3 linked regions of the Schizosaccharomyces pombe genome follow. The gene in region 1 interacts genetically with each later gene. Each region holds a gene or a part of one and is shown in the gene's direction. Other genes may lie near its edges.

What was found.
Region 2: of wis1 (region 1) and pat1, a mutation in one rescues a mutant of the other (synthetic rescue), as found in Schizosaccharomyces pombe (2 studies listed by BioGRID).
Region 3: of wis1 (region 1) and atf1, a mutation in one rescues a mutant of the other (synthetic rescue), as found in Schizosaccharomyces pombe (2 studies listed by BioGRID, with this or other methods).

The regions. Positions count from the first base shown.
Region 1 is NC_003423.3:1,143,231-1,148,355, reverse strand, and holds wis1 (MAP kinase kinase Wis1), read left to right. Parts: upstream 1-1,752; 5' UTR 1,753-2,571; coding exon 2,572-4,389; 3' UTR 4,390-4,625; downstream 4,626-5,125. Other genes in the region: ubiquitin hydrolase Uch2, read right to left, coding at 5,083-5,125. UniProt on the Schizosaccharomyces pombe protein: Dosage-dependent regulator of mitosis with serine/ threonine protein kinase activity. May play a role in the integration of nutritional sensing with the control over entry into mitosis. It may interact with cdc25, wee1 and win1. May activate sty1.
Region 2 is NC_003423.3:1,681,179-1,688,756, forward strand, and holds pat1 (serine/threonine protein kinase Ran1/Pat1), read left to right. Parts: upstream 1-1,682; coding exon 1,683-3,095; 3' UTR 3,096-3,377; downstream 3,378-7,578. Other genes in the region: protein mug124, read right to left, coding at 5,590-6,027; fructose-bisphosphate aldolase Fba1, read left to right, coding at 7,189-7,578. UniProt on the Schizosaccharomyces pombe protein: This protein is a negative regulator of both sexual conjugation and meiosis. It phosphorylates mei2. It blocks the onset of meiosis until conjugation takes place.
Region 3 is NC_003423.3:1,544,494-1,554,063, forward strand, and holds atf1 (Atf-CREB family transcription factor Atf1), read left to right. Parts: upstream 1-1,723; 5' UTR 1,724-1,971; exon of another isoform or gene 1,972-2,367; intron 2,368-2,826; 5' UTR 2,827-3,167; coding exon 3,168-4,868; 3' UTR 4,869-5,369; downstream 5,370-9,570. Other genes in the region: contractile ring-membrane anchor Fic1, read right to left, coding at 1-172, 226-273; plasma membrane OPT oligopeptide transmembrane transporter family Isp4, read right to left, coding at 5,941-8,298.

The DNA.
Region 1 (5,125 bases):
AAAACAACTACCATTCGTATGTACAGTCGTCTTAGTCTACTATTGTATGGTATGTGGCATACGCAGCCGTGGGTGCCAGCCAGCAACCATACCAAGTCAAAAATTTCTCTTATAGCAAATCAATTCTTCATTCAATTCAAATAATGTAAAAAAAAACGCATCTATAGAAACATACGATGAAACTTTTTAAATACAAACTAATAATGAAAATACTCGCAGACTAACAATGAAAATACTCCAAAATCTAATAAAGAATTAGCAATTTGGCATTTCATGAAACCGTAAAGCGTCAAACGAAATGAAATCTAATAAAATTAATAAAATTAAAATAAAATGCCTTCTTCTTCTTCTCAGTTTCATCGTATGATTTTCTCTTTTAATTTCTTCATTTTATTCCACTTTCCTTCTCTTCTTTAGTTTTTCCTCATTTTTGGATGTTGGGAATACAGCCTCTTTCTATCTAGTTTCATCTTCAGCCTTTTTCACCACATGTTCAATCATTCGACTCTTTCTGTATTCTTCTATCTCAATTGAACATTATTGAGTCTGTTTTAATGAAAATTTTTTTTGTCTTCCCTTGATGTTGGCGCAAAACTAGACGTTCCAAATTTTTTCTCATTAATAAAGGATTATCCTCAAATCGTTTTTATAGCCCCCTTTCTACTTTGTTCGAGCATACACCGTACATTATGCATTTGCATATAGATGGAGTGATCTAGGAACTTTTGTAAATTTTTTTCTCTTTGCTTGTTTTTCCTTCCTACGAAAGTTCTACCCCTTCGTTGCACTTTTCACTTCAGTGTCTTTTTCCATAGAACAAAATGTTCCTAGCAGTTTTGCTGCTACTCTTACATTATTTTTGTGTGTTTCCTTAAACAAAAGAAATTTAAAAAAATTAGAAAAAAAAAAAAAATTTAAAAATAAATAAATTTTTTTTTACGCTGCTTCTAGAGCACAAATAACACACTCTCTTCATTCCACTTGCTGAACCTTTTAACGATTATTAAAAAATGTTTTATTATACATTACTACACCTTTTCGAAACACTTGTGCGTTAACTCGCTTTTTTTTATCGCTCTCAAGGACGGAAGCTACTAGGTTAGTTATATTTCTCTTATTTATTTGGTTATACATTTTACCTTGGATCATGATTTTTCTTAGTATACATTGACATTCGAATACCAGCTTTGAAACTTAAAGCCCTATGCACCTAATCATTAATTATTTTTGTTTTTATTTATTTATTCTTTATTCTTTTCTAATCAAACACTACCATATCTATCGGACAATTCAATTCCTTCTGTCAAGACCGATAAATCGTTGTGTTTATCTTCCATTAAAATATTTTTCGGCCCTTTTTTTTTCTGTTTTTCTTTACTTCTATGTATTATTCTCTATACGTTGAGCATTTTACCCAATCATCCTGTGCTTTCCCATTAATCCATCGAGGTATTTCTTACCAGCTATTTCTGCCGTACATTCTTTCCATTTGCATATAAATCTCAGGATACCTTGTTAGAAATCTTGTCGAATGATTCATACAGGTCGTTACGCTTATACGGAGATCTGCAGCATATTATTTGGCTTCACGTTATTTTGATTTTACAAATTTGATTGTATCCCTTAACCATCCCTTGTTTTGATGAAACATTTTTTTATCCACGTTATCCTTATATACTGATACGTAAGCTAACGTGCAAAAGTTTCTCCTTAAGATTAAGCAACGTGTTGTCTGACTTTCGTTATCCTTTTATCCTTCACCAACTCCATCCCATTCCACCTTCTTGTATACCCAAACATACCCCAGCCGGCTGGCGATAGCTGGGATTCCTAATCTCTCAAGCATTCCCTTTCGACGTGTATATCTTATTTACATCGTACCGACTACACTTCCTATTTTATCACCCTCCCTAAATTTTCCCATTTCCTTTAAAGAGCAGAATTTTTTTTGCTCTTTACTGTAAGAGAAAAGCGTTTCTGAATTTTTTCTCTTCCTTCCACACCCTTACGTGTTATCTTTTAGAAAGATAATTTCAAATTTCTTTCCTTTTTATTTCGTGTTTGTGAATTATTACTTTTTCTCCTTACCTTTGCCTCCTTACTCGTCGGTCATAACTCGGTTTTAAAGTATTGACTTCTCGGACTAAGATTAACCCACACCTTTTTACTTTTTTTTCTTTAGTTCTCCTTGGGAAATTTATTATCTAAGCCCCTGTTTCTTCCAGTTTCTGGCTTTTGCTGTTAAATTTAAACCCTTCCAAACCTCCTTTTTTTCCGTGGCATTTACCTACACAAAGCTACTCGTAGGTGATTGCCTTTAAACTTCCTTTTTTTTTCTTGGAATATCCTTCCTGCGGACTTTTTAGACCACCGCTTTTTTTTTCCTTCTTCGTCGGAGACGACTCGTAATTGATTGTCTAATTTTAATTGTTCTTTTCACCCAAGATACCTTTTTTGTATTGCCATCTCACTTTCGTTCATCTTCACTTTTGCTTCATTTATATTACCGGAATTTAGTTTACCTAATTTTTTTTTCTTTTTTTTTAAGTTTGTGAAGCACATTTATTTTATATGTCTTCTCCAAATAATCAACCCTTGTCTTGCTCATTGAGACAGCTGTCTATTTCTCCTACCGCACCTCCCGGTGATGTTGGTACTCCCGGCTCGCTCCTTTCTCTTTCGTCTTCAAGTTCTTCAAACACCGATTCTTCTGGTTCTTCCTTGGGTTCCTTGTCTTTAAATTCTAACAGTAGTGGCAGTGACAATGACTCAAAGGTTTCTTCTCCTAGTCGTGAAATACCTTCCGATCCCCCTCTTCCCCGTGCCGTGCCTACGGTCAGACTTGGCAGATCTACGTCCAGTCGGAGTCGTAACTCTCTTAACCTTGACATGAAGGATCCTTCGGAAAAACCTAGACGTTCACTTCCTACAGCAGCTGGTCAGAACAATATTGGATCTCCTCCTACTCCACCGGGCCCATTTCCTGGAGGACTTTCAACTGATATACAGGAGAAATTGAAGGCCTTCCATGCATCTAGATCAAAATCAATGCCGGAAGTAGTCAACAAGATCAGTAGTCCAACTACCCCTATTGTCGGTATGGGTCAACGAGGAAGTTATCCTTTGCCTAACTCTCAACTTGCTGGTCGATTAAGTAATTCGCCCGTAAAGTCTCCGAATATGCCAGAGTCCGGGCTTGCAAAATCACTTGCTGCTGCTAGGAATCCTTTACTCAACCGTCCAACGTCCTTCAATCGACAAACGAGAATCCGTCGTGCACCACCTGGAAAACTCGATTTATCCAATTCCAATCCCACCAGCCCTGTCAGTCCGTCTAGCATGGCTTCTCGCCGTGGCCTAAACATTCCTCCCACCCTTAAACAGGCTGTTTCGGAAACCCCTTTTTCCACATTTTCGGATATTTTGGATGCAAAATCAGGCACCTTAAATTTTAAAAACAAAGCCGTGTTAAATTCAGAAGGTGTTAACTTTTCATCTGGCTCTTCGTTTCGTATTAATATGTCAGAGATTATTAAGCTTGAAGAACTTGGAAAAGGTAACTATGGTGTTGTGTATAAAGCATTGCATCAACCGACTGGTGTCACTATGGCCTTGAAGGAAATTAGGTTGTCCTTAGAAGAAGCAACATTTAATCAAATTATAATGGAATTGGATATTTTACATAAAGCAGTTAGTCCTTATATCGTTGACTTTTATGGTGCCTTTTTTGTGGAAGGTTCTGTTTTTATTTGTATGGAATATATGGATGCTGGTAGCATGGACAAACTGTATGCTGGTGGTATCAAAGACGAAGGAGTTTTAGCTAGAACTGCTTATGCTGTAGTGCAAGGCCTCAAAACTTTGAAAGAGGAGCATAATATCATTCATCGTGACGTTAAACCTACTAATGTTTTGGTAAATTCTAATGGCCAGGTTAAGTTATGTGACTTTGGCGTGAGTGGGAATCTTGTGGCTTCTATATCCAAAACGAACATTGGATGTCAATCTTACATGGCTCCTGAAAGAATTCGTGTTGGTGGACCTACCAATGGCGTCTTGACTTACACCGTACAGGCTGATGTGTGGTCTCTAGGCCTTACCATTTTAGAAATGGCTTTAGGAGCTTATCCGTATCCACCTGAATCATATACTTCAATATTTGCACAACTATCGGCGATTTGCGATGGCGATCCACCTTCTCTCCCCGATTCATTTTCTCCCGAAGCTCGTGATTTTGTAAACAAGTGTTTGAATAAAAACCCGTCTTTGCGTCCCGATTATCATGAGTTGGCTAACCATCCATGGTTGTTAAAATATCAAAATGCAGATGTGGACATGGCTTCATGGGCAAAAGGCGCTCTTAAAGAGAAAGGTGAAAAAAGAAGCTAAAGGTTCGCCTGCTTTCTAATTGCCTGCTCTGTTTTAAAGTACCCATGCGCATTGGTGTTTGTCTTTAATTTCGAATGCATGACTATTACGTGATCCATAATTATGTTTCAGCAGAACCGACGCTATTTTGCATTTGTGCTTTTTCATAAATTTAATAATTTGGGTATGATTCCGTATAACGGTAGTTGATGTTTGCATTTTTGCTTTAAATTAAAACGGGTATTTAATGTGTTATTACATTTGTTTAAGGCATTTACGTCCACCATAAAAAACTTTTTTTTTATTTAACTAAGGGGCTTTAGAAGTGCAAACGAAAGTTTGCAATTGTAAAAGTTACTTGTACTGTATTAATTTATTTCTTTTAAAACTTCGTTGACTGGCTCCGTCGTTTTAGCTACTATGATCTCCTGTTTCCTACAATGGTGATTACTTAGAGAGATTGAATCCATCGTAAATGCAAGTGTTAATAGATATTATATCGACCTAATAATAATTACTTAAACTATTAATATATTACTCAAAGAGATTTGAGGTATTCATTTATTTAAAAAGTACGAGACTTTTATATATCAAAGAAACAAATTCTCCCAACATAAGTCCAACAAGGTAATCTAGAGTCATAACAGATTTTTATCCTGGAAATGAAAATTCCTTCATAGTGGAATATTTTTTGAGAAAGAACGCCGTAATATATTACGGTCGCTTTTGAGATGCGTATTTCGCTTTTGCAGTTTCA
Region 2 (7,578 bases), 540 kb from region 1:
TCGATTTCAGCTTTCATATCCCCTGGTCATTAACGCGATTACTCTTACTCAGGTTGTTCGGCTGTCTACTGTGTTAAAGCAATAAAGAAAACACTACTTTTATCTGATTAGAAATCGAACCAAAATTAAAAAATTTATCTTTTATTCATTCTACACAAGTTTGGATTGTATTCTTATTTTTTTTATTTTATTTTTTTTTTAATTAAAAACTTCGAAATTCTATAAACAAACGTTGAATTGTCGAATTTGGATTTTATTTTTTCTTTAACCACCATTTTTTATTCTTACTAATATCCTCCCTTCCACCATCCTCGTTTTCTTTTACATTTGTTTTCCCTTCTTCCTCTTGGATTCTTATCATCTCCCGTGTCTAAAAGTTTCCATCTTACTCGTTTTTCTAACAAAGAAATCACTATTTCTCATCGCGACGAGCATTAGTCATATTTGAGTCGCGTTTCCTTTTCCTCTTTTTTAATTTATTATTTTTTTTTTGTTTTATTTATTTATTCTTTTTCACTTTCGTCTTTGGTTCTTGTTCGCGTCTGCTTTTCCTTTCTTTGTTCTTTCCCCTAGCCTCTTCGATTAGAGATAGATACTTCTTTCCATATCCAAACTTACTACTTCTCTGCTTTTCCCCAATGTAAATGGGAATTACCCTGAACGATTTCTTGTAAATTCCTTTGTGCTTGATGAAAATACTTTTCAAGAATTCTCTTCTCTCGGCTTTTCTTAATTACTCGATTTTTTCATTTTACATTCACAAATCCATATTGCTGTGCATACTTATTGACATTAGGTGAACTCATCTCTTTTTTCCCCAGTCCAACTCTTCCACCTAAGTCTATTGACTTACTCGCAAGCGTTGATTGTCGATTGTGTTTCCTTCTCATCCCCTCTCTTCTTTTTAAACCGAACATTCTATTCTCATTTTTACCTCAATTTGGAAAGGATATACTACTAGGTAAAAATTAATTCTACTTTTCTCCCCCATCTTTAACCGACTACTGACCTGTACATTTTCCCGATTTCTCTTACTGTTCCTTTGGAAAATCGTTGTGTGTCTTGTTTGTACGTTGATCTTTAGAGTTTCCTTTGATTATCTTGAGCATTCTTACTTTTTATTCCCTGCTTAAAATACTAATCATCATTTTTCCCGGTTTTTTATTCACATTCCCTTCTCACTTCCATTCGTTGTACTCAAAAGGACCTGTGCTTTTTAATCATAAACATTATATATTATTCGTTTTAACTCTTCCTTCCACAATTGCATTTCCCCTTTTCTTTATTAATTTTGTTTCTTGCATGTTGGTCGTTTTCTCTGTGATTGGCGTATTCGATTCTCTTTTTCATTCTTCGTTGTCGTATTTTTTACCTGCTTACAATTGAAAAAAAAATTTTTTTCTTGTAAATTCCCTTATATTATTAAACCTCAAACGATCAAGATAAAACCTATCATTGTGTTATTGACTATTTTCCTGTTTATAACGATCTTTGTTTTTTTTATCATTGATTTTAGAAGACATTAGAAAATCTAACCTTTCTCAAAGTTTTTTTTTTGTTTCGGTTGCAAAGTTCTTTAAGCTATTCAAAACTTTATCATCCGAAATACTTATTTTCTATTTTCTTATCTAATTTTCGCCATCAATTGGGACTTTATTTAATTTATCTTTACTAAACATTAGATGATGCGCGAAAATCCAGAACTCCTTTTGGGTCAGGTCTTGGGTGATTCTTTACGATTTGTTTCTATCATCGGTGCCGGTGCTTATGGTGTCGTGTACAAAGCAGAAGACATTTACGACGGTACCTTGTATGCAGTAAAGGCTTTATGTAAGGATGGCTTAAATGAAAAGCAGAAGAAGTTACAAGCTCGCGAACTTGCCTTACATGCTCGTGTTTCTTCACATCCTTATATTATTACATTGCACCGCGTGTTAGAAACGGAAGACGCCATTTATGTCGTTCTCCAGTATTGTCCGAATGGCGACCTTTTTACTTACATCACGGAGAAAAAGGTATATCAAGGGAATAGTCATTTAATTAAAACCGTTTTTTTACAGCTTATTTCTGCTGTTGAACATTGTCACTCAGTTGGCATATATCATCGAGATCTTAAACCCGAAAACATTATGGTTGGAAATGATGTAAACACCGTATACTTAGCTGATTTTGGTCTGGCTACTACAGAACCCTATTCAAGTGACTTTGGATGTGGTAGTCTGTTTTACATGTCTCCAGAATGTCAACGGGAGGTGAAAAAACTTAGTTCGCTGTCAGATATGCTACCGGTAACTCCTGAACCTATAGAATCACAATCATCCAGCTTTGCTACAGCGCCAAATGACGTCTGGGCTCTGGGAATTATATTAATTAATCTGTGTTGTAAGAGGAACCCTTGGAAGCGTGCATGTTCTCAAACTGATGGTACTTACCGTTCCTACGTTCACAATCCATCAACCCTTTTATCCATTTTACCCATCAGTAGAGAGCTCAATTCTCTACTCAATCGAATTTTTGATAGGAATCCCAAAACCCGAATCACATTACCCGAACTTTCCACGCTAGTATCAAACTGTAAGAACCTTACACGACGTTTACGACCTGCTCCCCTTGTTTCATCTCGTTATCTCGCATACCAACAACAACAACAACAGCAACAAATGAATTTGCAACAAGGAATTCAAGGTTACCCTCATCAAGGCTATATGCCGACTCAAAACATTGGCTTTCCCTGGCCTCCGACTCCCCAGTTTGTAAGTAATTGGAATCATTGTGCTACTCCAACGATCCCTGTCTCCTTACAAGTCCTTACACCAAATTCTTCACTTAAAGTAGATCCGACTACACCTCTTACAGCACCTATTCATGCAACCGAATCATTCTGGCCTTCTGCCGCAGCGGCGGCAGCAGCTGTCCATAACAATGCTAACTCATATATGCCTATTACACCCACACCCTATCCGAATAATGCAAAAATTTTCGGTTATCCTAATCAACCTCCGCTGACTCCCATACCTTTTACTGGATTCGTTTTGCATCCTGCACCAGTTGGTCGTGCTGCTGATGCCGTAGATCCATCTCGAAAATCGCTCTAAAGTTACTTGCTTCTTTTTTATATTCGCTACCGCACGTTGTTTTGTTCAGGGTTACTGCAAAACATTATAGAGGGCTTTGACTGCCCCAATAATTATTTCTCGGGATTTGAATTTTAACATTGTGTAAATAGCTAACATTTTATGCACTTGTTTTATACTTATATTTCTTCTTTTTTATATGTTTATTATGATGGTAGCATTATCTTTTTCTGTTAACAACATTGATGAATTTTTTTTGCTTGTGGTTTGTTCTTTAAAACAAAAATTTTTTTATAAATATATACTTAAAAAAAAAAAAAAGAAAAGGTAGACGAATGGATCGTTTTAACGACGGTTGTAATAGTAAATTTAAAGAGTTTAGAGCATGAAGCATGCAGTCATATTGTATCACCGCTATACTCGAAATGTTGAAGAGATAAAGCAAACTAAGCTTTTGGAATACGAAGATAGAAGGATATTATTCATAACTTGTAATAATATTGTTAAAAGTTAAAATATTAAATTAAATTTATAGATATCTTCTTGTAAATTCTAATATTACAATATTTTTACTGATATTTTTAAGCAATTATTATATCAAATATCGTTGTGTATATAGAATATTTTTTGGACAATATTTTCAAAAATAAAGATATTGTTAAGTTAAGTAAAGATATATTTTAGTAAAGGATGATAGAGAAAGAAATTAGAAAACTAGGTTTGAAGATGCAATTAAATTATAGCAATAATACAATTATAAGTTTCCTGTAAGGGGACAAATTTTACTAAACTTTGTTATTTATTATCTTTACACGAATTTCCACTGAATGTAAAGTGTATGTAGTAAACATTGTAACAAAATTCATAAATTTATATGTATATAGTTTTTTACTTTAGGTTGCATTAATAGATGATACAGTTTTTCTGTTTTAGATAACGCTATATTTTAAAAAACCAATGCTTCTAAAATTCGTTAAGCTTAGATAGGCATAGGAAAGTTGAACTAGGTCGAGAATTTTATTAGGCTGTACACAGAGGTTATCTGTGTGTTTTGTTAATAGAGTTTAACCGTTTTGGAAGCTAATTTACAAATACCGTAATGATTCTTGCAGTACACAAAAATGGCGTTTTTTTGATAGTATAAAATTTTTGGCAGTGTTTTTTACTCTAATAGGGCGTGAAGGTGCGAGTAAACAAAGAAGTGGAAAGGAAGGTCGGGACTGTAACTCACGCGAAAGAGTTGTTCTAGTAGATGGAATAGGAAGAGTTACGCTACTTTGCCACGCCAGGGGAGAAAAAGTAAATTTGGAAAGGAATAGGGAACCTTTTTCTCATAGCTTTTTGGGGTATTGTACGGAATGCATCATTACCATCATCCGTACACCACAGGAAGAGTAGCGATGGCAGGTGGCATGTTCCGGTAAGTTATGTTTGGGCGAAACCGAATGCGAGACCTTTTAGGCGAGATGAAGATGGTGAGATGGTGAAACAAAAAGGTTAATTTGCAGGGAGAAAAAAAGGTTAGACGGAGGGCTGGAAGAGGGATGTCAGCTTGAGTGAAGAGCTAACAAGAGCGGAAAAGAATAGAGAGGCAAAGGAAGAACACTATGGTTTTGTTTAGGGAATAAGAATATGAAGTTGTAGTGCATATATAGTAAAGGAATGGAAAGGAATGAGAAAGATAGAGTGGATAGATGAATGATGAATGGATGAATAGGTGAATGAAGTGGAATATGTATTTCTATAAAGAATGCTAGGAGTAAAGGAATGAAATAGAAAGGATTGGGTAAGAAAAAGTGTGTGTATGTATGAGTGTATTAGTGAATGAGATTCTGTGCAAACGAAAAAGTAGGATAATAAACTTAATGGATGGAAAATCAATTACACAAACTATGCTGTCTACTTAAAAAAATAAATAAATAAATAAAACCTACAACTCGACAAACCATGCTATCAAATATAAAAAGTCTACAGGCTGTACCACATAATGTGTTTATATATGTGTATATTGTGCTATGAGATGTACTTGTACATAGCTGTAGTTACAACTTGGATATACGTGCTATACCTATTATTTAGTAGAGCGTGCAAGTAAACATATTATACCCTAGTCTTTTAACTCTCTCTATATATTCGTTACGACGACGCTTTGTCTATATGTTATCCTCGATGTGTTACGATGTTACAAGTTACACTGCGTTATGCTACTTATCCAGCGTCTGCAGTCTTACTCTTTCTCTCTCTCTCTCCATTTCCCTCTGCTCTCCCTTTCATTTCACAAGCCCACGTTAACCTCACATAGCCCGCTTACAGTGCATTGCCCTACATCGTTATATCGATGCGTTGCGTTGCCAAAGAGGCGAGGAACAATATTCGTCAAGATTTTGCTTATCTCTAACAACAAGAGTTTATCCGTTCCAACCATTTCCCTGCGGTAATCCAATTGTTATCCGTAGCGAAGGGTTCAAGTGCCGCTGACATCAACCGAGCCCATCTAGGTAACGAGGTATATCGGTCATCGTGTCGGGGTTGCTAAATAGGAATGGTTGCCTTGCAAATCGTTACCTGACCAGAGCTGCAGCGAAAACGTAAACAAAGCGTATGTACGAAGGAAGAAATTGGATGGAAAAAATGAATCGACAAAACAAGGCAAAGCGCAACTCCAAGCAAAGTGACACATGACCGAGCATGAAAACGCAATCCAATGCAATGCCACACATACACTCAGAGATGCAATGCCACGACGATGGAATGGACAATGCAGACCAACGATTTTGAGCAGAGAAATATTAGCTTGACATGATGTGAGATGGGTGGAGATGTGGAATGGAATGGAATGAATGGATGGACATGAAATGAAATTTACCAAGTAAACAAGAGAGTTAATAATAGTAAGAATGATTTGTCTCCTAGTCTCAGCAATAGCAACACTTGACAGTGACTGCAGTCTCATACTCTTCTAGTCAAGTCTCATCCTCTTCCACTCTCTCAATTCCTTTTTATCAATGTTTCTTCCTCTTGTTATGTACACAAACGATGATCTCTTCTCTCACCTCATTGCTGGACTAATATTACTCGTGGCCAAGCGAAACACAAGTGGTACTAGATAACCAAAAAATGATAAAGCATTCAATCAATCAAACCACTTACGAAATTCATACTCCCGTAAACGAATGCCGGTCGGACGCATGGAAAATCATCAATACGTGAGAGAGCTACTTAGTTGTGCACTTTGTATATGTCCAAAAATACTTTTCATTTCACATACCTGCTTGTGTAAAGACAGTGATGAAATGCGGTGCAAAGTGTCTATTCTTACATTGATGGTAAAGCTAATTCAAGCATGCTTGGAAGAAGAATTGCCTTGCATTTCTTGATCATTTGACCCAGGCGACAACTATAAAATAAGAATACTACCGAAGATGCAGATGGGGTGTGTGGGCACAACACCATCGAACCGAACCGAGACGGCCAGACTGTGATAACAAAAGAAATGCATTAGTTTAGTTGGCTGGTTCAAGTTGGTTGAGTAGAAAAATCCATCACTCAAACTGGGAAGTAGGGATGGCTGGGAGAATGGAGAAGCGAGACGAGACGAGACAAGACAAGAGGAGATGAAATGAAATTAATGAAAAGAAATGAATAGAAATGAAATAGACATATGAATAGTATAGGGCAGGTTAGATGTTTGTATTTATAAATGTTTAATGCTTAGGTTTGTATTTATGTTTACGTTGGTAATGTTTCTTTTGTTTGTGTTTGTGCATCGGGTGAACGAGTTGGTTACCGCCGCCGCCGCTTCCTTTTGCCTTGACACACACCACGCAACGTGTTACGGTTCTTGAACGGAATTGCGTACTTCGATGCAGAGCGCTATCGGGGGGATTGGGGATGGTAAATGGAAGAAATCAAAAACTTCTTTTGACGTCAACCCCTAAAACAGGGGACGGTGATTGGTGGTAACCACGGACCGGATAGGTATCGATATGCACATCAGGTGAGAAGTTTTTCCGAGGCCAACTCCGGCTCCATGGTATATAATAGAGGGTTGCGCGCTACTGTTGCAGTATCATACTTCCAAAGGTCGTATAGAACACACACACAAATTAGCAAAATGGGAATTCTCGATATTGTACCTACTGGTGTTATTACAGGTGACAACGTTTTAAAGTTGTTCACCTACGCTCGTGAGCACGGATTCGCCATCCCTGCCATTAACGTCACCTCCTCCTCCACTGCTATTGCTGCTCTTGAGGCTGCTCGTGAGGCTCGTTCCCCCATCATCTTGCAAACCTCCAACGGTGGTGCTCACTTCTTTGCTGGTAAGGAATCCTCCAACGAGGGCCAAAAGGCCTCCATTGCCGGTTCCATCGCCGCTGCCCACTACATCCGTTCCATCGCTCCTTTCTTCGGTGTCCCCGTCGTCATGCACTCTGACCACTGCGCCAAGAAGCTTCTCCCCTGGATGGACGGTATGTTCGAAGCCGATGAGGCCTACTTCAAG
Region 3 (9,570 bases), 400 kb from region 1:
TTATTTTCATAATATGATAAGATTCACTGGGAATGTTAAACTCCAGTACCGCATTCCACGATGGTTCTTGACCGCTTCTCTTATCCGTTTGCGTACGTTTTACCACCTCACCAACTCTGCAAACGCAGTAAGGGCTTTGTTTGCCCACTAGAGCCTTGTTTGGTAAATTTTTCTAAAGAAGACACGTTAGTTTTACAAAACAAATCTTCATCTTTTAAGACTTACAGCTTTCCATATTCGGACAACCAACGTTCCAAGAGGATTCTTTGACATATGGTAGATGGAGAAACGGGTTATAAACAAAAAAGCTACTTTATACAATTCGAGTGCGGATTTTAAGCAGTGCAGCGCAACTTCTGTAGGAGGGGGCTGGTTTGTCTCCGATAACGGGGGTTAGCTTTCGTTCATTCATTTAACGTAGCTTACTGCAATTTAAAATGCTTTAACGGAAATTTGTGTACGCTACGATATTGATGGCTCCAGTTAGGAAATTCGTGAAGAAAGATGCCGTGTTAAAAAAAATTAAAAATTAACAAAAAAAAAAAAAAAAAAAGAGAGACGAAAGTTATCGCAAACAAAAAGAACTTTATTAATATAACTAATTGCATTAATGATTGACTCAGTACACACCACACAAATATATTCACTTAATTTTAATTGTTTTAAAATGAGTGTAAAATATCTATTGGTATAACCAATTCCATCACAATTGCTAATTGAATGGAATGATTTGCATAAAATGTTTCTAACTTAATTTTTTTATTCTTTTATGTTTCACGAATACAAATTTATTTTGTTTTTAAAAAACTTCATTTTCTTTGCTTATCTTTTGGGTAGTTTTCGGATCCGTAATCCCAACAAAATGCCAACCCGTATTGACTAATAAGTTCCCGAAAATGTAAGCAAAAGATTTCATTGTAAAACAAATGAATTAGCTATTAAAACTGTTATTTAAATGTTGTAAGGGTTGGTATGTTATATATACAATCTAAGTCTATGTAAAGACTTTTTGAAAGATCCTACTGTACAGAATTCTCCATAATTGAATTCGTGACAAGTACTCATAATATTTGAAACTTGTATATTATTTCTGCGTATAACCTATCTTTATTTTTATTTTAATTTTATTTTTTACTTTATTTTATTTTATTTTATTTTATTTTTTCGTAGGTCTTCTGGAACTGCTGGATCTATTCATACATTGCTAATTACTCAGCGTACGTACACATCTTACAAACACGCAGAAGTCCAACCTAAAACACTTACCTACATACAACATAATATCAGAAATACACGCAACGATTTAGCTTCATCAAAGATATATTATTTATTCATTCATCGGTTAATATAAAATAAGCTTGAGTTAAGAGTGAAATAAGATTCATGGCACTATACACAAACTCACCATTTTTACTACATATTGCTAACATCATATTTGCTTAAAAAGCACGCACTCCATGATATACCAATAACATCCTACTTTCCGTCCATCCTTTCCCATTCCCCAAACTATCGATACGTTTCTTAACGATACGATAACACAAAATACAAAACTACACAGCAGTACTTTAAGTATCGTCTTGCTCGGTTTATTCCAGACCCATTTCCTTGTTACCCTTCTTCAGAGCCCCGCACGTGATTGGTTAAGTTCAATCATGCAAAGTGATGCAATGACGTCATCTGTTTGAAACAGGTGGAAGTGTGGCACTAGGAATTTACAACTTACCCTTTACTTACAACATAAGAAGAAAGAAACTACTTAGGAAATTGCTAAAAAGTTTACTTTGAGCACTTTTTGAACGATTGAATTGACGAAAACCATTTTTCTGTTTGTAAATTTCAGTTTGGACAGTTGACCGAGTCTTTTCATCATTTATACAGTAGTCATCGCTTAGTTGGATCTGAATTACGAATTCTCTGGTTCATGACGACGACCTGCTACTAGTACGTTTGGTTGATTAAGTCAAATAGGTATGTGTTTATACATGCAATTGTGAAGTTTGATTATGTAAAAGGCTGTAAAATTGGAAGAGCGTGATAAAAACGTGACGGGTTGTGTTGAAAACCGAATTTTTATGAAAATTTGAAAATTTGCTCCTATCGTCATTGACCCTACTAAACATGACGAGTATGACGCTTTCTTATCAATAACACTGATCGTTATGGGGTTGTTAGTTTACAGGAAACGTAAAATGTGTTTGGAATTCCTTCGTTTTTTGAGGGTTTGGAAATTTTTTTTTGGTGTTGTTGTGCTAGAAAATTTTACTTGTTACCATTGTAGGTTACTATTGCCTTGACTGAACTGGGATCTATGTGGTGGCAACTTTTGATGAATGATTTCTCGGAAGTGAATAAACGCACACGGGAAGAGAACAAGAGTAGAAAGGAAGCTAGAAGAGCGGAAAACCCGTTTTGTCTCGTTTTTGGCAAAAAAATTTCCAAAAAAGAAAAACGGGTGTTTTAGCAGGTGTATTTGCTGTTGAAGTACGAATCTCTTTATTACTCTACGCTTGACTGTACTCTCTCACATTAAGTTCTGAAACTCATTCAAAAAAGGCCTCCACATTCATATAATCCAAATCAACACACCCTAACAAAAACGATCGAACGAAGAAAAGGAAAAGAACAAAGAGTAGGAACATCCCTTTTATCTTTTGTAATTCTTTATTAGTTTCTTTGTTATTTTATTTGGACATGTTCTTTTACAAACTTGACTATTACCTTTGCGAGTTTTTTTTTACCCTTTGTAGAATATCTTCCTTCACAATCTTGCATATCTAGTCTTCTAGCTTTGCCTGTACAGACATCTAACTAATTCTCGTCTAGAGCCTCCGTCGCGGTTTTCCCTTTTTTTTTCGAGAAAGTTGTATTTTTATCTCCTTAATCTCCTCCTCCTTTTTTTTTCTTTTCTTTTTTATTGAAACAATATAGTTTCTATTTTTTCTGCTTTATCAGCCGTTATTACTTCTGTCTTGTCAAATTTGGAAAGCCATTAATTTCTTGTAGTTGTTTTTTTATTTAGTTTTGACAAAACTATTTTCGATCTTCTCTTTAAACGGGTTCATCTATATATCTAAATTATTTATTTTCGTTATTTAAGCGTGTGTGATTTTTAACGTCATCTCTTAATACATTTTGTCAAGTGTTAAAGCATAAATTCTTCAATTATGTCCCCGTCTCCCGTCAATACTTCCACAGAACCAGCATCTGTTGCCGCTGTTTCAAATGGTAATGCTACTGCTTCCAGTACTCAGGTTCCGGAAAACAATCAATCTGATTCATTTGCACCACCAAGCAACAATTCTCAGCAGAATCAACAGTCTTCAACTATCGCTCCTAATGGAGGGGCCGGATCTGTCGCTAATGCGAATCCAGCTGACCAATCCGATGGTGTAACTCCGTCTTTCGTAGGCTCCTTGAAGCTGGATTACGAACCCAACCCCTTTGAGCATTCATTTGGCTCTACCGCTTCGGTTGGACAAGGAAATCCTTCTCTTAATCGTAATCCTAGCCTTAGTAACATTCCTTCAGGTGTGCCTCCTGCGTTTGCGCGAACTCTCTTACCTCCTGTTTCTTCCATAGCATCACCTGATATCTTAAGTGGAGCTCCAGGTATTGCCTCGCCGTTGGGCTATCCTGCTTGGTCTGCTTTTACTCGTGGTACAATGCATAATCCCCTTTCTCCTGCTATTTATGATGCTACTCTTCGTCCTGACTACCTAAACAATCCTTCAGATGCATCTGCAGCAGCTAGATTTTCTAGTGGAACTGGATTTACTCCTGGTGTTAATGAACCCTTCCGATCTCTTTTAACCCCTACTGGAGCTGGATTTCCCGCTCCTTCACCTGGTACTGCCAATTTATTAGGGTTTCATACGTTTGATTCTCAATTTCCTGATCAATATCGTTTTACCCCAAGGGATGGTAAACCGCCTGTTGTAAATGGGACGAATGGTGACCAGTCTGATTATTTCGGTGCCAATGCTGCGGTTCATGGGTTATGCTTACTCTCCCAGGTTCCCGATCAGCAGCAAAAGCTTCAGCAACCCATCTCCTCTGAAAACGATCAAGCAGCATCCACCACTGCCAACAACCTCCTGAAGCAAACTCAGCAACAGACTTTCCCCGACTCTATCCGGCCATCTTTTACTCAAAATACTAACCCCCAAGCTGTTACAGGTACAATGAACCCTCAAGCATCTCGTACTCAGCAACAGCCTATGTACTTTATGGGGTCGCAACAATTTAACGGCATGCCATCTGTTTACGGCGATACAGTTAATCCTGCCGACCCTTCATTAACATTACGCCAAACCACGGACTTTTCCGGACAAAATGCCGAGAATGGATCCACAAATCTACCGCAAAAAACTTCTAATTCTGATATGCCAACGGCAAATTCGATGCCGGTCAAACTCGAAAATGGTACTGACTATTCCACTTCGCAAGAGCCTTCTAGTAATGCCAATAATCAATCCTCACCCACTTCTTCCATTAATGGTAAGGCTTCTAGTGAATCTGCCAACGGCACTTCGTATAGCAAAGGTTCATCTCGCCGGAATTCCAAAAACGAAACTGATGAAGAGAAACGTAAAAGCTTCCTGGAACGCAATCGACAAGCTGCTCTTAAATGTAGACAGCGTAAAAAACAATGGCTTTCTAATCTTCAAGCGAAGGTTGAATTTTATGGTAATGAAAATGAAATTTTAAGTGCACAAGTCAGTGCATTACGTGAGGAAATTGTGAGTTTGAAGACCTTATTGATTGCTCATAAAGACTGCCCAGTGGCCAAGAGTAATTCGGCTGCTGTTGCAACAAGTGTCATCGGAAGCGGTGATCTTGCTCAAAGAATCAATTTAGGGTACTAGACTGTTTTTGATCTGAAAAGGTCTCAGTCTGTGATGGTTGTAATGAAGAATAACGTTTTTACTTCCCTTTGACTTTCCCTCCGTTGAGGGTTGTAACGCCCTTTTCCATGCATTTAGCTATGTTATGGATGTGAAATTATATATGTTTATTTTACATTAAAAAATCTTTAGGCTTCTCTTTTTATATTTCTTCCCGTTTTCCATTACTGTTTTAATTTTGCACTGAACGCCGTCCCGCATGCATACTTTTAGTACTTTATGAAGTGATAAAATTTGTCTGTCGTGTCTAGTTCACTATAATATCGTTTGGACAACAAAAACTACACGCTTTCTTAATGTTTACCATTCATCACATGTGGCAGAGTTATAGAATACTACTTATAACTCATTCTTATGAGATTGATTTGATTTAATAATTAAAACTATATTATTTAGTAAGAATCAGCAGTGTTTTTAATAACAACTGATTACTGTTTTCCTTTAATGTAAGAAATCAACAAGTCTTAGTGTATTGTGGGAGTATTAATATCGTGAACAGTATATAAATCAAGTTAATGAATAGGTTTGTCATCGGTCATTTACATATCTATTATCATACGAACATGCATTCATAAGATGAAATCAAGTTAAAATTTGCACCTTCACAATATTTACTTTACTTAGTGAGTGTTTGTCGCTACATTGAGGATGTATACAAAAAGTGAAAATGAAATTACTGATGTTCACATTACAAAACGTATATAAAAATGCAAACGTTTGTTTCAATTTAGAACGAACTATTCAATTCTAACAACAATTAATAAAAAATAACAAATTAGAAAGCTTAATAAACATGAGATAAACTTGTTGAACGATTGATTAAACACAAATCTAATCATGCAACGTAAAAAAAAATAGACAACAATCAATCATCCAAAAATATATATTGCATAGATGTTGAATATTCAAACACTAAAAGAAAGTGTAGACATAATTAATTCACGAAGCTTTAGTATACAAATCAATGCTTATAATTTTTATCATTTGTTAAAAGATGGAAAAAAAAAACAAAGAAAAAAATACAGCATTGATTTTACCATTCGGCGGGACCAAAGAATTCACCTGCTGACTCATTGACGAGTTTCCTAACAGCGGCACCTGTAGCATCCAGCGTATTAAAGGCACCATCATTACCCCACCAATCTGGGAAATTAACCATAGGCAACTGTAAGCAAAAGAAAAGTATAATGACCGACAACTGCGTACCAGTATCAAGAGCAGCAGAAAGCGTGAAATTGTATTTCTGCCACCAGTCTGCGAATATCTTCTTCAGATAATAATTGAAGAACAGACCAATTCCAGACCAAGCCAGATAGTTTACAGGAGTAGCTGGGGGAATATAACCAGTACCTCCAAAAATTAGCGGGCCATTCAATTGACCCCACCATTTTTGAGGCCATTTCTTCCATAGAGCCCAGAACAAAATTGTACCCAGCACGCCAGCGAGCCAGAAGTACTGCAATCCCGTATAGGTGTTTTTTCCAGAAAACATTCTCTTGGGACCAATTACACCCCAAATAACGGAAGAATTAAAAAAGACAGTTGCATTAGGACAAGTGTAATTATCAGGTTGATCGGCCTGGCAAACATTATCAATATTACCCAAAGCCCAATCCAATACGCCGATCTGAACAAAGCAAGACCATATGGTGGCAATCATTTGGGTGTAAAACATGATTCTGGGAGGAAGCTTCATGTAATGACCAAACTTCAGATCGGCAGCGAAAGCCAATCCCTGAGTCATTGTAATATAACCGACAGTCTTGAAAATCATCATGGCCAAAGGACGACCAGGATACATATAACCAACGATAAACTCGGTGAATACATTCAAGCCTAGCTGGATGTTGGTTATAGCTTGAACGATGCCAATTGGAATGAACCATACAGCAGAGAAAATGACACCGACAATGATAACCCACCAAGGGGTTTCCGTTTTCCAACCATAAATAGTACCCATCATCATGCCGAAAAAGGCCAAGAAAACACTCAAATACCAATAGAAGGGAACTTCATCATAGGCTTTCATGAGTTTTTCATGGATATCAGGTGCGGGTGGATCGCGTAACCTGTCGTAGATCTCTTTTCCATGGTATAGGATCACGTGGAAAATGACAGAAGTGATGGAAGCGAAGGAAAGGCCAAATGCCAAAGCGTAGGTGGTGGACATGAAAATGGGAGAATAGTTTTGATAGGCATCCAAATCAAACGTAGCATCCTTGGTGAGGATGCGAGTAACGTTATAGCTATTACCAAAGTGATCGATAATACCAGAACTACTGATCGGTAGGTAATCACCATACCACGTGTTGGTAAAGTTAAGGGCTGGAGTGACGATCCAAAAGAATAGAATGACGCCCAAAAGAATGTTCATCAAAGCATCGGCAGGAGCCATGAGGGGGGAAAGAATGTATGCGGAAATTTGATTCCAATCAAAAGTCATGGGAAGGATGGAGATTCCGGTGGATTCACCAAAGATTTGATTTACAGTTGGACTATTAGGACGAATCCAAGTGACCCAAGCAAATAGGGAAAGGGCTTGGAAAATGTAGGAAGGGAACCAATTCCAAATGAATGAAGCAATAAAAACGTACAAAAAGAAACGGAAGGGGGAAATTCTCCAGCCATTGGCAACGGCGTTTCGTAAGTCTTTGCGATGTAAAGTCTTGATCAAGGTGCATTGAACGAGATTCACAGGCCACAACATACTAGCAGGACGGACCAAAAGTCTTCTGGATAAACCAGCCAATCCGTATCCGATAAGTTGAGTGGCCAAAGTCAAACAGATTTCGTAGCCAAAGCCGAAGCGCTGTTTGTAGTGTACACGTTGGGCGAGGATGATATCGGTGGAGTAGGCATTACCAAACGATACACTCGACATAACGACGATGAGAGCATGTTCTTTAACGTTAAAGGGACCAGGCTTAAAATTAAACTTTAAACGTCCAATGCGAAATTCGCGATCGGGGAAAATCAAGTCCCAAATCTGTAATGCTGGGTATGCGAGAAGCTCGGAAATCAAAACACTCAAAGTGACGGTTGGGTTTCGAAGGGAAAAGAACATGTTGACGGCGGCACCAACGGTGGAATAGATGAGACCAATGGTCCACATGCGAATGGTGTTGCATGGCATACTTGGATCATCGGTAGGAGGGACGGCGGCACGAACCTCTGGATAAGGAGAGTCTTCCTCAAACTCGTCAACCGTACTAATTTCACCATGTTCGACATCGAGAAAGGACTTTGTGTCTTTCTTGATGTCTTTGGATAAACTGTCATCGGAATGGCTAACGATGTAATCAGAGATGTCGACGGAGTCGGCCTTTTCCTTTGTAGAGGGGGAGTCATTCATATGCTCCTCGATGGGAGACTCATTGATGGAACCGATCATTATGGGAAGAAGGGAGGAGAATCAAGAGAGAGAGAGAGAGAGAGAGAGAAAAAAAAAAAGTCAAACTTGATTCACCAAAAAAATAAAAAGAAACAAACCAAAAATGGTTGAGAGAGAGAAATACTAGAAAAAGTTTTTGCTTAGTTTTCGAAAGAGAGGAAACAAGATTTTCCAAATAGAATTGACGAGAGACGAAACGAAAATGATGTATTTATGAAACGAAACGAAACGAACAGTGCGATACGATAAAGAAATCACAAAAAAATCACTACGAAACTTCACGGTGATTGAAGAAACGAGCAATGGATGGGATTTGGAAAAAGAGCAAAGTGTTTAATACTTCTTCATCAATAAAATTCGTGAAGGAAGAAAAACACCTTTATGTTTTTATGGAATCAACGTCCACGTATGTAGAGATAAAAATGTATACAAGATGGTTTTTATAGACTGTACAAAAATAGTATAGTCTAGAATAGAATAGTATAGTATAGTATAGTAAAGTAGAGTAGAGTATAGTCTAGTACAGCAACAATAACAATTTAGTTTTTGTTTTTTCTTTAACTTTCCTTTTCTTTTTATGTTACAATGGTTTCCAAACTTTTAGTATCTTGGAGCGGGCGGGGGGATTTAGCTGCCGAAAAACGTGCAAACAATAATCGATGTTAATTTGTTCAACTTTTATTTTGAGTTGACACATGGAGGGATTTTCACCTCTATATATAAAAGGGAAAAAAGGTGCGGCATTTGATTTTTTCCACTCGTAATCAATTCATTGCTCTTTCTTCCTTCCATGATAACCAACCCTTTCGCTCATTGTGTGTGAAATATGAATCAGAGATAAAGTCCTTATTACATAAATGGGATGCAGGAGATGACCAGTCAGTTCTATTCTATCTTGATAAAAGTCGTACTGTTGTCATGAAGGGGTCAGGGGCGGCAAAGCTTGACGATGGAGAGAGAGGAAGAAAGCACAATCGACAAAGTAGAACTGATAAGCAAAGCAAAGCAGAATTGACAAAGCAAAACGGAATTGAAAAAAGCACAGATGATGAGGATTCAAAGGGATGTAAAGCTGAAGAAAAGAAAAGAAAAAAAAAAGAAAAGGAAAAAAAAGAGGATTTGTTTATATTTTCATAATTTTGATTCAATTGATGTGTGTGTGTTTGTATGTAAGTGTAAGTGTAAGTGTATGTATTGTTGTTTTTATTTATATATATTTTTTTATATTTCAATTCATCCCTTTTCTCTTCCTCTCTCTCTCTCTCTCTCTTT